Linked DNA regions of Mus musculus. The protein of the gene in region 1 interacts with the protein of each later gene in a pairwise test. Links are inferred from orthologs where the notes say so. Each region holds a gene or a part of one and is shown in the gene's direction. Other genes may lie near its edges.

The links.
Region 2: the proteins of Cltc (region 1) and 2310057M21Rik interact in binary tests that used the Homo sapiens proteins (3 or more experiments, as listed by UniProt). The link is inferred for Mus musculus from reciprocal best matches to the Homo sapiens genes CLTC and C10orf88.

What each region holds. Positions count from the first base shown.
Region 1 is NC_000077.6:86,753,671-86,759,231, reverse strand, and holds the start of Cltc (clathrin heavy chain 1), read left to right. Parts: upstream 1-1,664; 5' UTR 1,665-1,942; coding exon 1,943-1,984; intron 1,985-5,561. UniProt on the Homo sapiens protein: Clathrin is the major protein of the polyhedral coat of coated pits and vesicles. Two different adapter protein complexes link the clathrin lattice either to the plasma membrane or to the trans-Golgi network.
Region 2 is NC_000073.6:131,359,453-131,365,126, reverse strand, and holds the start of 2310057M21Rik (ATPase PAAT), read left to right. Parts: upstream 1-2,400; 5' UTR 2,401-2,455; coding exon 2,456-2,619; intron 2,620-3,190; coding exon 3,191-3,394; intron 3,395-4,165; coding exon 4,166-4,238; intron 4,239-5,674. UniProt on the Homo sapiens protein: ATPase that regulates mitochondrial ABC transporters ABCB7, ABCB8/MITOSUR and ABCB10. Regulates mitochondrial ferric concentration and heme biosynthesis and plays a role in the maintenance of mitochondrial homeostasis and cell survival.

The sequences.
Region 1 (5,561 bases):
GGATTTGAAATGTCCTTTCATGCAGGGTCTGTATGAAAATACAAGGCCCTTGTCAATAAATTGAAATGTGGTGATCTGTTCATGGTGAAGCTCTTACATCCCAAATTCTGAGATTGAAAGTGCAATTCTATTAAGCTACTGACATTTCTGTAATAAAACAGTAACTCCCTTAGGATTTTAATTTAAAATTTGCCCACCTCTAGAAAAGGACAAAGTCTTATGAAAACAATCTTTTCAAACATTGCAGGACAGGGCACATTCAAGTGCTTAAGTGAAATTATGTAAACACAAAACATCCTAAATATGGTGGCAAGGCTCTTCTTCAAGGGTCTGTTGTCTGCCTTCTCACTTGCCTGGTTCTCCTCTCAGCCCAGATATGAAAGGCAGTATTTGGGGGGAATACTAAACGCAACTGAAATGACTAAGCAGATTTCTCTAAGCAAAACCGCTTACGCAAAATTATTGTACACCCAGTGGTTGTCTTATGTTCTTTAGGTTGAAAGGGGCATTGAAAGTAATTTCCTCAAGAACTTTCAGGGGGATTAAGACGAACTATGTGGAAATGAACTCTCTAAATCTTCCTTATATTGGTGCTATTGTGAGACATTACACCTTACACTTTAGCAAGAGCTCTGGGGCGGCTATTAATCGCTAATGAATGCTGCAGATAGCTTACTGCTGTAGGAAGGCAAGGTGCTCCGGTTTTGAAGGGCTTATTACATCGCCCACCCTGTAACTACAGGTAATGGTCCTACTACCATGTATGACTAACAGTCAATCCCTCAGCTCCAAGACAGCCCCTGAGGTTTCTTTCCCTAGCCATCCTTTGATCTACATCTTTTAAGCTTTTTCCTGTGGCCGAACCCTCCAGTTCTCGAAGGCCAAACTGATCTCTACACTAGGCTGATCTAAGTCCACCAAAATGTCCGCGGAAGCGCTCTCCAGGGGCCAGCAGGAGATTCTTCTCCCATGGCCTTCCCTGTCCTTTGAGATGGTTTATCTGAGGATCTCGAGGAGCCATCCGGCTCTCCTGGCGTCAGAAGGGCGTGCGTCAGGGCAAGGAAGCTTGCAGCTCAGTACGGTCCCCCTCCCTGAGGTGTCAGCAACCACCCACTGCGCGAAACCAGGCGGGGGAGGCGCGCCGCAGCCAGCCGCCCGAGGAGCTCTGCGGCGGGGCCGTTTCCCTTAGTCACCGCGGCACCCACGCCGCGGCCTTCTCCTCAGGCACTCGGTGTCCTCACGCCCAGGCCGCCACGCCGGCAGGGGGCTCAACCGCCACCTCCTCCCCAGGAGCAGCGGCCAGTATCTTGCCTCTCGCCCTCCACTCTGGCAGCCTTCAACCGACCCTTCCCTACCCGCATCACGTGCACCGGGAAGTGCGTGGGTGGGTCTTACAGCGCCTACGGAAATGACGTAGTTCGCCCCGAGTCGCATGATGTGGCAAAATGTTAAAAAAAAAAAAAAGTGGGAGGGGGGAGGGGAGAAGGGAGAAACCGGAGCCTGGGGAAAGTGATGAGTCTAGAAAAAGTAGTCCCTCGGTTCCTCTGTTTCCCCGCAGCCGCATCAGCGAAGAGCGCTCCGCGCACTGCGTCCCTGAATCCCTACGCCCGACCGCGGCGCGGCGTCTGTGGAAGGCTACATAAGGCGGACGGCGTGAGGAGACTGGGCGGAGTTCTGCCTCGGGATCCTTCCGCAGGGCTCAGCCGTTTCCGGAGTCTGCGCTGCTCCCGGTTCCGCCATTGCGGCTCTCCCGGCCCCTGGAGCCTCCGCCCCCGACCCAAGCTCTCTCGTCTGCCTGCCAGTTCCCTGCGTCCCCGGAGAGTATCCCTCTGAGCCCAGCCTCCCCTCCCCTTCCCCGTCTCCTCCTCTCCCTTGGAGAGCCCGGGCAGGCACTGCCCTGCAGCCCCAGTGACAGGAGGAGACCATACTCCCCGACAGCGCCATGGCCCAGATTCTGCCCATTCGCTTTCAGGAGCATCTCCAGGTACGTGTGAGTCGGGGCTGCTGAGGGACTTTTCGAGGGTCGTGGGAAGGAAGAAGCTAGCGGCCTGGCCCGAAAGGGATCGAGAGAAGGGGAGTGGGGGGTGTCGGTATTTGGCATAGGTGGAGGAAGGACAGTGTCTTAAAAGCTTAAAGGGTTAAATGATATGAGACTAGGATGGAAATGACGAATCGGAGTGCAAAGGGCGGCGAGGCCAGGCCTTACGTCTGACGACCTCTTATTCTGCTTCCTGGATTGCAAGAACTGCGCATACCAGACCCCCCTTCCCATTTTACTCAGTTCATTCATTTGGGTAGGGGCTAGGTGGGGGAGCTTCTCGCGCGTTTCTCCCAGAGCAAGATTTCTCGTTAACCCTGAGCGACGCGGGGCTGTCACCTTCCCTTGGTCTATTCCCATTTCTACATCGAGTCTGCACCCAGGAATTGTGTGGCGGGTGGGTTGGGGAGGAGCTGCATCCTCCCTCTGCAGCTCACCACTGAGAAAGGCACCTTGGGGTTAGGGTAGCAGTGGCTCGTGGCTTGCCTTCCCTGAATCTATAAGGAACCGAAGGTCACACTCACTGAAGGAACAGAAAGAAGATAGAGGGGCGGCAAGGGGCGGTGTCAGTCTCGGTGCCTGGGGTCAAGGTCCCAAGGGGAACGCGCATATTTTTCCTTTCTTGGTTTCTTCAGAGGGTTAGTGTAGCTCTTAGGCTCACTTTGATTCTTGCAGGTAGGGAGAGTTATTTAGAGGTTATTTATGGCCTTTTGGAATTTAGCAGGTAGTTGTGGGATTACGGCAGGAGTATGTCTCACAGGACTGCGTGGAATTCATCAGAGCCGGGTTTAAGTGCATACCTGCTCTGTGTCAGTACCTAACAAGTTGATCTGTAACTGGCTCCTTTTTAATAGTCTGGGGCGTCCCCCCTCCGCCCCCCACTGCACCTTATCCTGGAGTCAATACACCATTGTCTAACCTGGCAACCTGCCAGCAGTTGGCCTAGGCAGGTGACTGTTGGAGGGCTTCGCTGAATTACGCTTCTTCTGAACTGCTGATTTTCCTGGTTCACTTGTCCCGACTCTTTGACATCATAATTTATTCATATTAATTTACTTTCCCTCAAGTATCCCCATAAAGAAATCTGCTTTCAGCTGCATCTTCTGAAGGGCTAATTTCATGAGGGGGAGGTGCAGTGATCCAGTTCAAATATTGGTAACTTATTGAGTGCTTTATCATTGAAGGCAATCTGATTTACTTTTCTTCATTGATATACATAAAAGATGTTTGATAATAAAGAGGGTTAACTAAAATTTAGCACCAAGTAAAATAATTAAATATTTCTTTATAGACTTTACCGTGTTGCTAACATTAACGAATTATTTTACTTTAGGACTTCTTTGCCCATTAAATGACTTGAATACATTTTCTTCAGTCATCACTAGTTTTCAAATAATTCATCTGATTTTGGCAATAAGATCTCTATTTTGTAAAGGTCTGAAAAATGTCAAGTGACAATGCTGACAGAGAAGTTAATTTTTGTTCTCAATTCAAGCTTGAGTTTCCTCTGTTAAGAATATAAAGTGTTAGGAAAGCACTGTTCTGGATGTTAGTGGACAGTGGGCTCTTCAGGCTGAGTTAAGAGGGAGGCAGCCTGTGTACACTAACAACAGAAAAAAATCTAGCTTTAATTAATTGCTTGCTTTAATTAATTTGACCATGATTTGGGTTGCTGTTTTTTCTTCTCCCATCTTTGGGATTAACACTTGGCCACACTGAAGTTACCAGAAATAGCTTTCTGCAAATATGTGTATAAACCTTACACAAAAGAAGCAAAGACAACTGCTGATGACATGACCGTTGCTGGTGATTTGAGTAATAGTTTTTCATTTCTATTAAACTCAAGACCAGAATTGTTGAATGGTCTTACAGACTGGAATCCAAACTTGTCACTAATTAAAAACAGATTTAATGCAGGTGTGGCATGTGAGTAGCAATTTCTGCAAATATTTGAAACTGTTTTCCAAAATTTAAAGATTTTGAATATTTATAAAATAGCTTTACAGATACACTTGAAGATCTCGGATGCTTATTTTCTGGAGGACCTCATTACACTTTAGGCTTTGGCTGGTAGGATCCCACTCTAGTAGATAGAGTCAGGTGTGCCGAAAGGATAATGTATCTTCTGATCTCAGACTTTTATTCCCTCTCTTTTAACAAACAAACATACAGTGTAAGGATTATTCCAGTTGTCATCTTAAGTCTTTGATTGCCCAGCCTCTGCCATTCTGCTTAGAAAACAACTTTCTAAAGCATTTAGGAGAACTGGGAAGTAAGGAGTGTAGAGTTCACTTGTGAAAGTTAACAGCAAACTCTAAATTAATTTATTTTAAACTTTTTATGAGAATGTTGCAAATAAAAAATTGCTATTTATTTTCATATCCCTTTGTGCATTTGTTTAGATGAAGATCTGTCATCAAGGCTTGGAACTATATCACATAATTTTGATATTTTATGTGATGAAGGAATTTTTGTTGAGTTGCAGATTCTGAACAAATTCTAGGCTGCAGAACTCAGAAAGTTCAGTGCCAGCCAGCAAAACCCTGTCTCAAAGGACAAAACAACAAAACCCCACTGCCTGCAATTTTCAGTTCCTGGCATATTAAGCATTTTGCAATTGACACATTTTGTTGAGCATTTGGATACTTTTAATTTTCATTTACAAATCTTTCCACCCCGTTCTTCTCTCTTTGATCCATAAACACAGACATGCAATGTGTTGCTGAGTTGAATAGTAGGATTCTTAAGAAGGTTTTGGTTTCAAAGAGAAAGCAGTAATAGATGCTTAGGAAGACTAGAAGAGCATGCCACCTGGAAGTAGACTCTAATCTACCGTGGAAATAGTTTAAATGAAGACCGATTCCCTCCCCCCCCACCCCCCCCAGAATTTTCTTAAAGGTTAGTTTACTCAGCTTTAAGGAGTTTGGCCAATTTTAATGAAAATACTTGTGCCCTGTTTGGGATTATACTTTAAGGTATGCAAAACTATGGTTTTCACTTTAAAGTCTTGGGAACTTGGGTAGTGTGCTGTTGGGACAGTTGTTTCTGATAAGTGAGGGCTAGAGAGTGAGGAGGAGAGCAGTCCAACTTCTGTTGTGTGCTGTGTCCTCACTCAGCCCTTGGTCCTGTCTCACATTAACAGTGGAAGACTAAGGCTGGAGGCCGTACTCAGGGGCCATAGTCAGAATGGGGTTTGGATCGCCTCTTCTGTTTTTAAGACAGAGTCTTAACTATATCGCACTGTCTGGTCTGAAACTTACTATGTATAACAGGATGGCTTTGAACTGAGATCTGCTTGCCTCTGGCTCCAGCGTGCTGGAATTATTGCATATTCCATCACACCTGACCATAAATCATATTTTAAAGACAGTGTCTTGCTAATGTTGCCCAGAGTGGATTCAGATTCAAAATCCTCTTGCTTCTCAGCCTCTTGAGTGCCGGGGTTCTAGGCCTGCATCATCATGCCCTGCTGCAGTGATTGCCTTTAAGAGATGCTACAAGGGACCAGAGAGGTGCTCTGTGC
Region 2 (5,674 bases), on another chromosome or scaffold:
TGCAGAATGGTTCCTTATGCCAGCAAGCATGCAGTCAGTAGGGAAAACAACTACGGAAACTGGCTACGACTGGAACTGCAAGGGAATTATAGGGCTTCAAACAGTGCGATGTAGCCGAGGAATCGCTTCCATTCTATAGTACGGGTTTAAGCTTGGCTGTGAATGAGAGGTTGTTCTTTTCCTCCAAAACTATTGAAAAGGGATAGTATTCTAGGGGGAGGAGATTGAGTTCACCAGGCTTTGAATGCTAAGATGTAAAGGTCATGTTGGTCCAGCCATCAGCAACAATCATTACAAGGGATAGAGGGCAGAGCAGAGGATATGGCGGTAATGAGAACAGGCGCAAGATGTTGGCTGAGAAACTCCCAGAACAGTTCAGATGAAGCTAACGCCTCAACACATGACAAGCAGAGATGAAGATAAGAGCTTTTGAGAGGATGGAGAAACGGTGATTTATTGGCAGGAGTCTTTTATGATAGGTGCCTTTAGTCTTCTGATTCATCAGCCTTATTTAAGGAAGTAAAAACCCGCAAGGTATTATTAATCTTGCACGCAAACCTGCAAGTTAGTGTTTCTAGAGTGTACTTCCATTAGGACTGTCTACACGTATTAACCTAGTTTATAACCAGAGGAGCCGGAAATACAGAGTAACAGGGCAAGACACTGCAAAGGCCTTCTTGCCACCGGCCGGTTTCAGGTTTACCCTGAATCTGATCTCCTTGAGCTGGAGAATCCTATGGAAAACTACTCAACTCCACTCTAGGAACCAAAGGTCAGAATGGCCAAGATAACGTATCTTAGCCTTTGTTGAAACTGCTTGTTTGTGCGGAACCTCCTCCAGCTAACTGTTCTTCTAAGTTGCTCATTTGTTCAGAACCCTCCTTGGTGGCTGGCTAACAGCTCATCTTAGCTTCTGTTAAAACTGCTTACTCCGTAGTGCTCTGATGCAGCAGCCAAGGGAGATGCCTTCGCTTTAAGGTCTCTTAAAATCCCATGTTCTGGACACTCAGGGGCTATACCTAGAATAAAGACTTTCAATTGGTTGTGCACTCTGAGGGGGCTCCCCATACTAAACAGAACAAGAATGATGACCACTTAGAATGTGGGGAATTTCTTTTAAAAATATAAATTGAGCCTTTTAGAATTAAAGGTTACTGTTTCTAGATTTTGTTTATACTGAATCTCTGATTTCTCTTTCAAACTTGATGAACACATTATACATACACTCTGGTGACTGTCTATAGAATTCAATCATCTTTTTCTTGATGACATAAACACGTTTTTTGAACAGGGGTACACATACAGACTAAAATGAAAATTAAAGCAAAACGTTTTTTCTGAGCGATGAACAAAAAGTTCTGGGACAAAACTAGGTTATGGCTGAACAAAACTTCCCCAGAAATTATATATAAGGCCTCAAGCACAACTTTAAAATTCAGGTACTCCACATTTCTGTAAACAAATTTCTCCCCTCGCCTCAATAGATGTTTAAATTATCTACACAACCCACTTCAGGAAGATAATGGGGGTGGGTATGGGGTGGAACGACAGCCGATACCTAGCTTTCTTTCCAATGAGTATAAAGTTTCAAGTCCCACTTGTCACCACAGAAAGTTTGACCGTACAATGTACTTCTGAAGGGACCAAGGCCCATTGCCAGTTTTTGTCAAGGTTATGAGTGAGAAACCTTAAGTCGCAGCTTTGAGCCTCTTGGACATTTTTAACCTTGAGAATTCTGTCATTTAGGACGTGCAAGCACGCTCCACCGGGTTCCTGAGGCTCGGAAGCCGGGTCTTAGTGGGTTCAGTGTTTAGTGCCTTCGGCCACTCAGCATTATTCTGCAATGCTAAGCGCCGCGCTCCACTCTACAGCCCACGGAGGTGACCTGAGCAGTGAAACAACGCGATCAGCCGTGGTCGCACTGCTTCAAAAGCAGCCTGCATGGCCTTCACTCCACGGGCTGGCGCAGGAAGGGTCCCCGGAGTCCTCTTCCGAGGACCTCGGATTGGGAGCTGGCTTTACAGGCTGCTTGAGCCAAGGAGACCGCACCTATCTGCTTTGGTACCACCCTCAGGGTGCCGACACCGCCCAGGCGCCACCCCACCTCCCACCCTAAAGCGTCGCTGCTTTGCCAACGTGGAAATAAACCCCTGGGTTCCCGCGCGCAGAGCACTGCGCATGCGCGCGGCACCTGCCCCAGGAGCGGAGGAATTCCGCGCACGAGCCAACCCCTGGCTCTTTTCCGCGGAGATTTTAAACCAACTTCTGGAAGGGAGACGAACACGCATGCGCACGTGTGGTGGTTGGGTCCCGGGATGGGAAGGGTTGGAGTGGGATGGGGTGGGGTCGGGGGAAGAACCGGAAGTTGTGCTGAACCTTCACCTCCCCTGGGCACTGAAGGAAACGCAAGCTCTGCGAGAGAGGTTCCGACGCCGCCTGGGTTGGAGGAGACAGAATGGAGACCGCGATCGAAGACGCGGGACTGGACCGCGGCCCGACGCTGACCTCGTCCTGGGATGCGGCGTGCGGGGCGCTGACCCAAAGCCTTTTTCTTACCCGGACTGGGCCACGTGCCCAAGACTTGGACTTCGAGCAGCTACTGGAGCCGCCAGCTCCGAGGTGCGCCGGGCCAGGGCCGGGGTCGGGTGACAGTCACGCTGCTGAGGAGCCGGGAGGAGGACGGGAGCCGAGACGGGCGAGGGAGCCGAGCGAGGCCGCGGGGACGGCATGGGGGAGAGCGGTGGTGCCTGGAGGTGGGCGAGGCTGCGGGCAAAGGGTGCGCGCTGGGCCGGAGAGGCCGGGAAACTCGTGTTCAAGATGCCCTCCTGTTACAATCCTCCTCGCCCCCCACCCGCGAACGCCCCCAGTCTTCTATTTGGGGGGAACAAGAACCACGGCGTCTTGGAAAAAGACACATGGTTGTTTTAACATTCAGTAAACGCTTTTAATTGACTGCGAATGAATTAGATAGTTGAATAGGCTGTCCACGGTCTAGGAAAAGTGGACGGGAATGAATGCCCTGACGCCTCAAACCTCTGTTCCTTATTAATTCTGTGAGAAGTATCTGTGGGTGATGGGGAAGGTTCTTGGTTCTCATGGCAAGTAGAGGTGAGTTTGAAAGGATTAATGGGTTATGCTTCTACTCGGAAAACTTATCTCTGTGATTTTTTTTTTTCAATTTTCTTCTCAGCCAGGATCCGGTTAGTCTGAAAAGCAGCCTGAGCCCCCGAGATGAAAACCCCTGCTTCATTTACCTGAACTGTGGCCCTAATGGGGGTGAAGAAATCCTTTCGGTTGGCGTTCTGAGTTCAGCAAGAAACATGGAAGTATACTTAGGAGAGGAGTATTGTGGAACCAGTCGAGGCAAGACTGCCTGCACTGTCCTGGATGACAGGTTTGTGACTTGTCTAGATGAAAGTGTTCATATGAATCAGTGTCTTTATTCTCAGCTCGTAATGTTTGTGGATTTTCTGAGACTGACAGGACAGGAGTCATTAGGGAAGAGAAGTTAAAAACATGCCAATAGACATAGGTTAGACCACTAAGCCTTCCAACGGCAGGGTTGATGAGCAAGCTTAAAAATATGGAGATTTCGGGCTAGTTAACTGGAAGTGAGTTGGCGGGTCACTGGTAATTAGTGGAAGAGCTTTATTAGAATGCAGTCCAGGTAAGCATTCTTGTTCTCACGTATCTCAGCAGGATCTGTTTAACAACCATTAGACATTCTGAAACTGACTCTCTTCCCTTCTAGAAGGCTCCTTGTGATTGATATATCAAACTAAGACTGTCACGGCAGCCTATTTACTGACCTATTAAAAGATGGACAGTTTGTGATTTTTTTTTCCCCCCAGTCTTGTACAGGGTTCTGCCCAGATCTGTCCTGAACATAATGCATGCTCTAGGTCCTGCCTGTGTTGGAAAGAATAGTAGTGTTTATAGAGCGTTAAAGTATGCCATGTGCTCCCTCGTTCAGTCCCCCATATAGCTGGCAAGTGGTAGGTACTGCTCCTCCACGCGGTGCAGCGCAGGCAGGAGCCCATTACTCCCTGTACCTGACCAGGAAAAGGGAATCTCTGAGATGAAGGAGTGTCCCGAATCATTTGTTCTTAAGTATATGTTAATGTTTACAACCAATGGCTGTTAAAAATGAATTCTTTTATTTTAGTGAACATGAAAAGATCTTGTTATACAAAAAATACCTAAAATTGGATTCTCCCACGCATGCCTGTAAAATAAAGGTGAGTCATCACCAAATTTAAGATTTAAGGTTGATCAAATTGTTTTTGTTTTTGTTCTATACACACTTATTTTCTCTTGGTTTGGCAGTACAGTAGTCTAACATGGTCCCTAGGTTTAGTCCAGAAATGCTTAGTTAGCTAGTAAAGGGGTACTGTTTTTCTAAAAAATTATTAATCCTTTAAACATTGAAAATCTCTTTAAAGTGTGATAATTTCCGGGGTCCATCCCATAATCAGCCACCAAAAGCAGACACTATTACATATGCCAGCAAGATTTTGCTGAAAGGAGCCTGATATAGCTGTCTCCTGTGAGGCTTTGCCAGTGCCTGGCAAATACAGAAGTGGATGCTCACAGTCATCTATAGTATGGAACACAGGGCCCCCAATGGAGGAGCTAGAGAAAGGACCAAGGAGCTGAAGGGGTCTGCAACCCTATAGGGAGAACAACAATATGAACTAACCAGTACCCCCAGAACTCATGTCTCTAGCTGCATATGTAGCAGAGGATGGCCTAGTCGGCCATCATAGGGAGGAGAGGCCCTTGGTCTTGAGAAGATCATATGCCCCAGTACAGGGGAAGGCCAGGGCCAGGAAGCGGGAGTGGGTGGGTAGGGGAGCAGGGCGGGGGGAGGGTATAGGGGACTTTTGGGATAGCATTTGAATTGTAAATGAAGAAAATATCTAATTAAATAATAAAGTGTGGTAATTTGTATTAGTTACAGAAAATGTTTTGTTAATATAGTAGTGCTATATTTTGAAGCCTTGTTCAGCTAAGAACATTTTAAAAGTCTTTCTATAAAACTATAATACCACAAAAGGCAAACATAAAACTGGCCCAGTGTCTATAAAGAATGGAGGAAAAGGTCAAACAAGAGAGCCAGAAATTCTAAGGAGTCCAGACTGTTGCTTCAGCCAGAATAATTTTCTTAAAATAGGTATTAGTGATGTTGTCAGAATTTAGGAACAGGTTCTGAGCTGGAATGCTCAAGTGACGTTATAAATACTAATTAAGCTCTGTCACCAAGTAGTGCTTTGGTCAGTGCCAGCTTACTTAACTGTTTGGACCTAATTCATGAAGAAAATTATTGGACCTTAGAAACCAAATTCTTGGGTCTTTTTTATATCTAGAATCACGTGTTTATTATCACAGAAGACAGTAAGACTTAGTTTTAAAATTTAAAAAAAAAAGATTTTCATTGAAGAGCTCAGTTCACAAAGCCGGTTATGCCAACATCTGTTTAAGTGGAATAAACTAATACCTTATAAAGGCATTTAAATAAAGTAATTTAATTCATCTAGCATATATTTTAGTATCTGTTGATAGCAGATAACTGCACCAGGCATGTAGGAATATCAATTGGAAACTGAAGTGCCAGCCTCCATGTTGCATCTATTTTAGTGGGATAAGACAGATGATAACTAGATTTACTGATTAT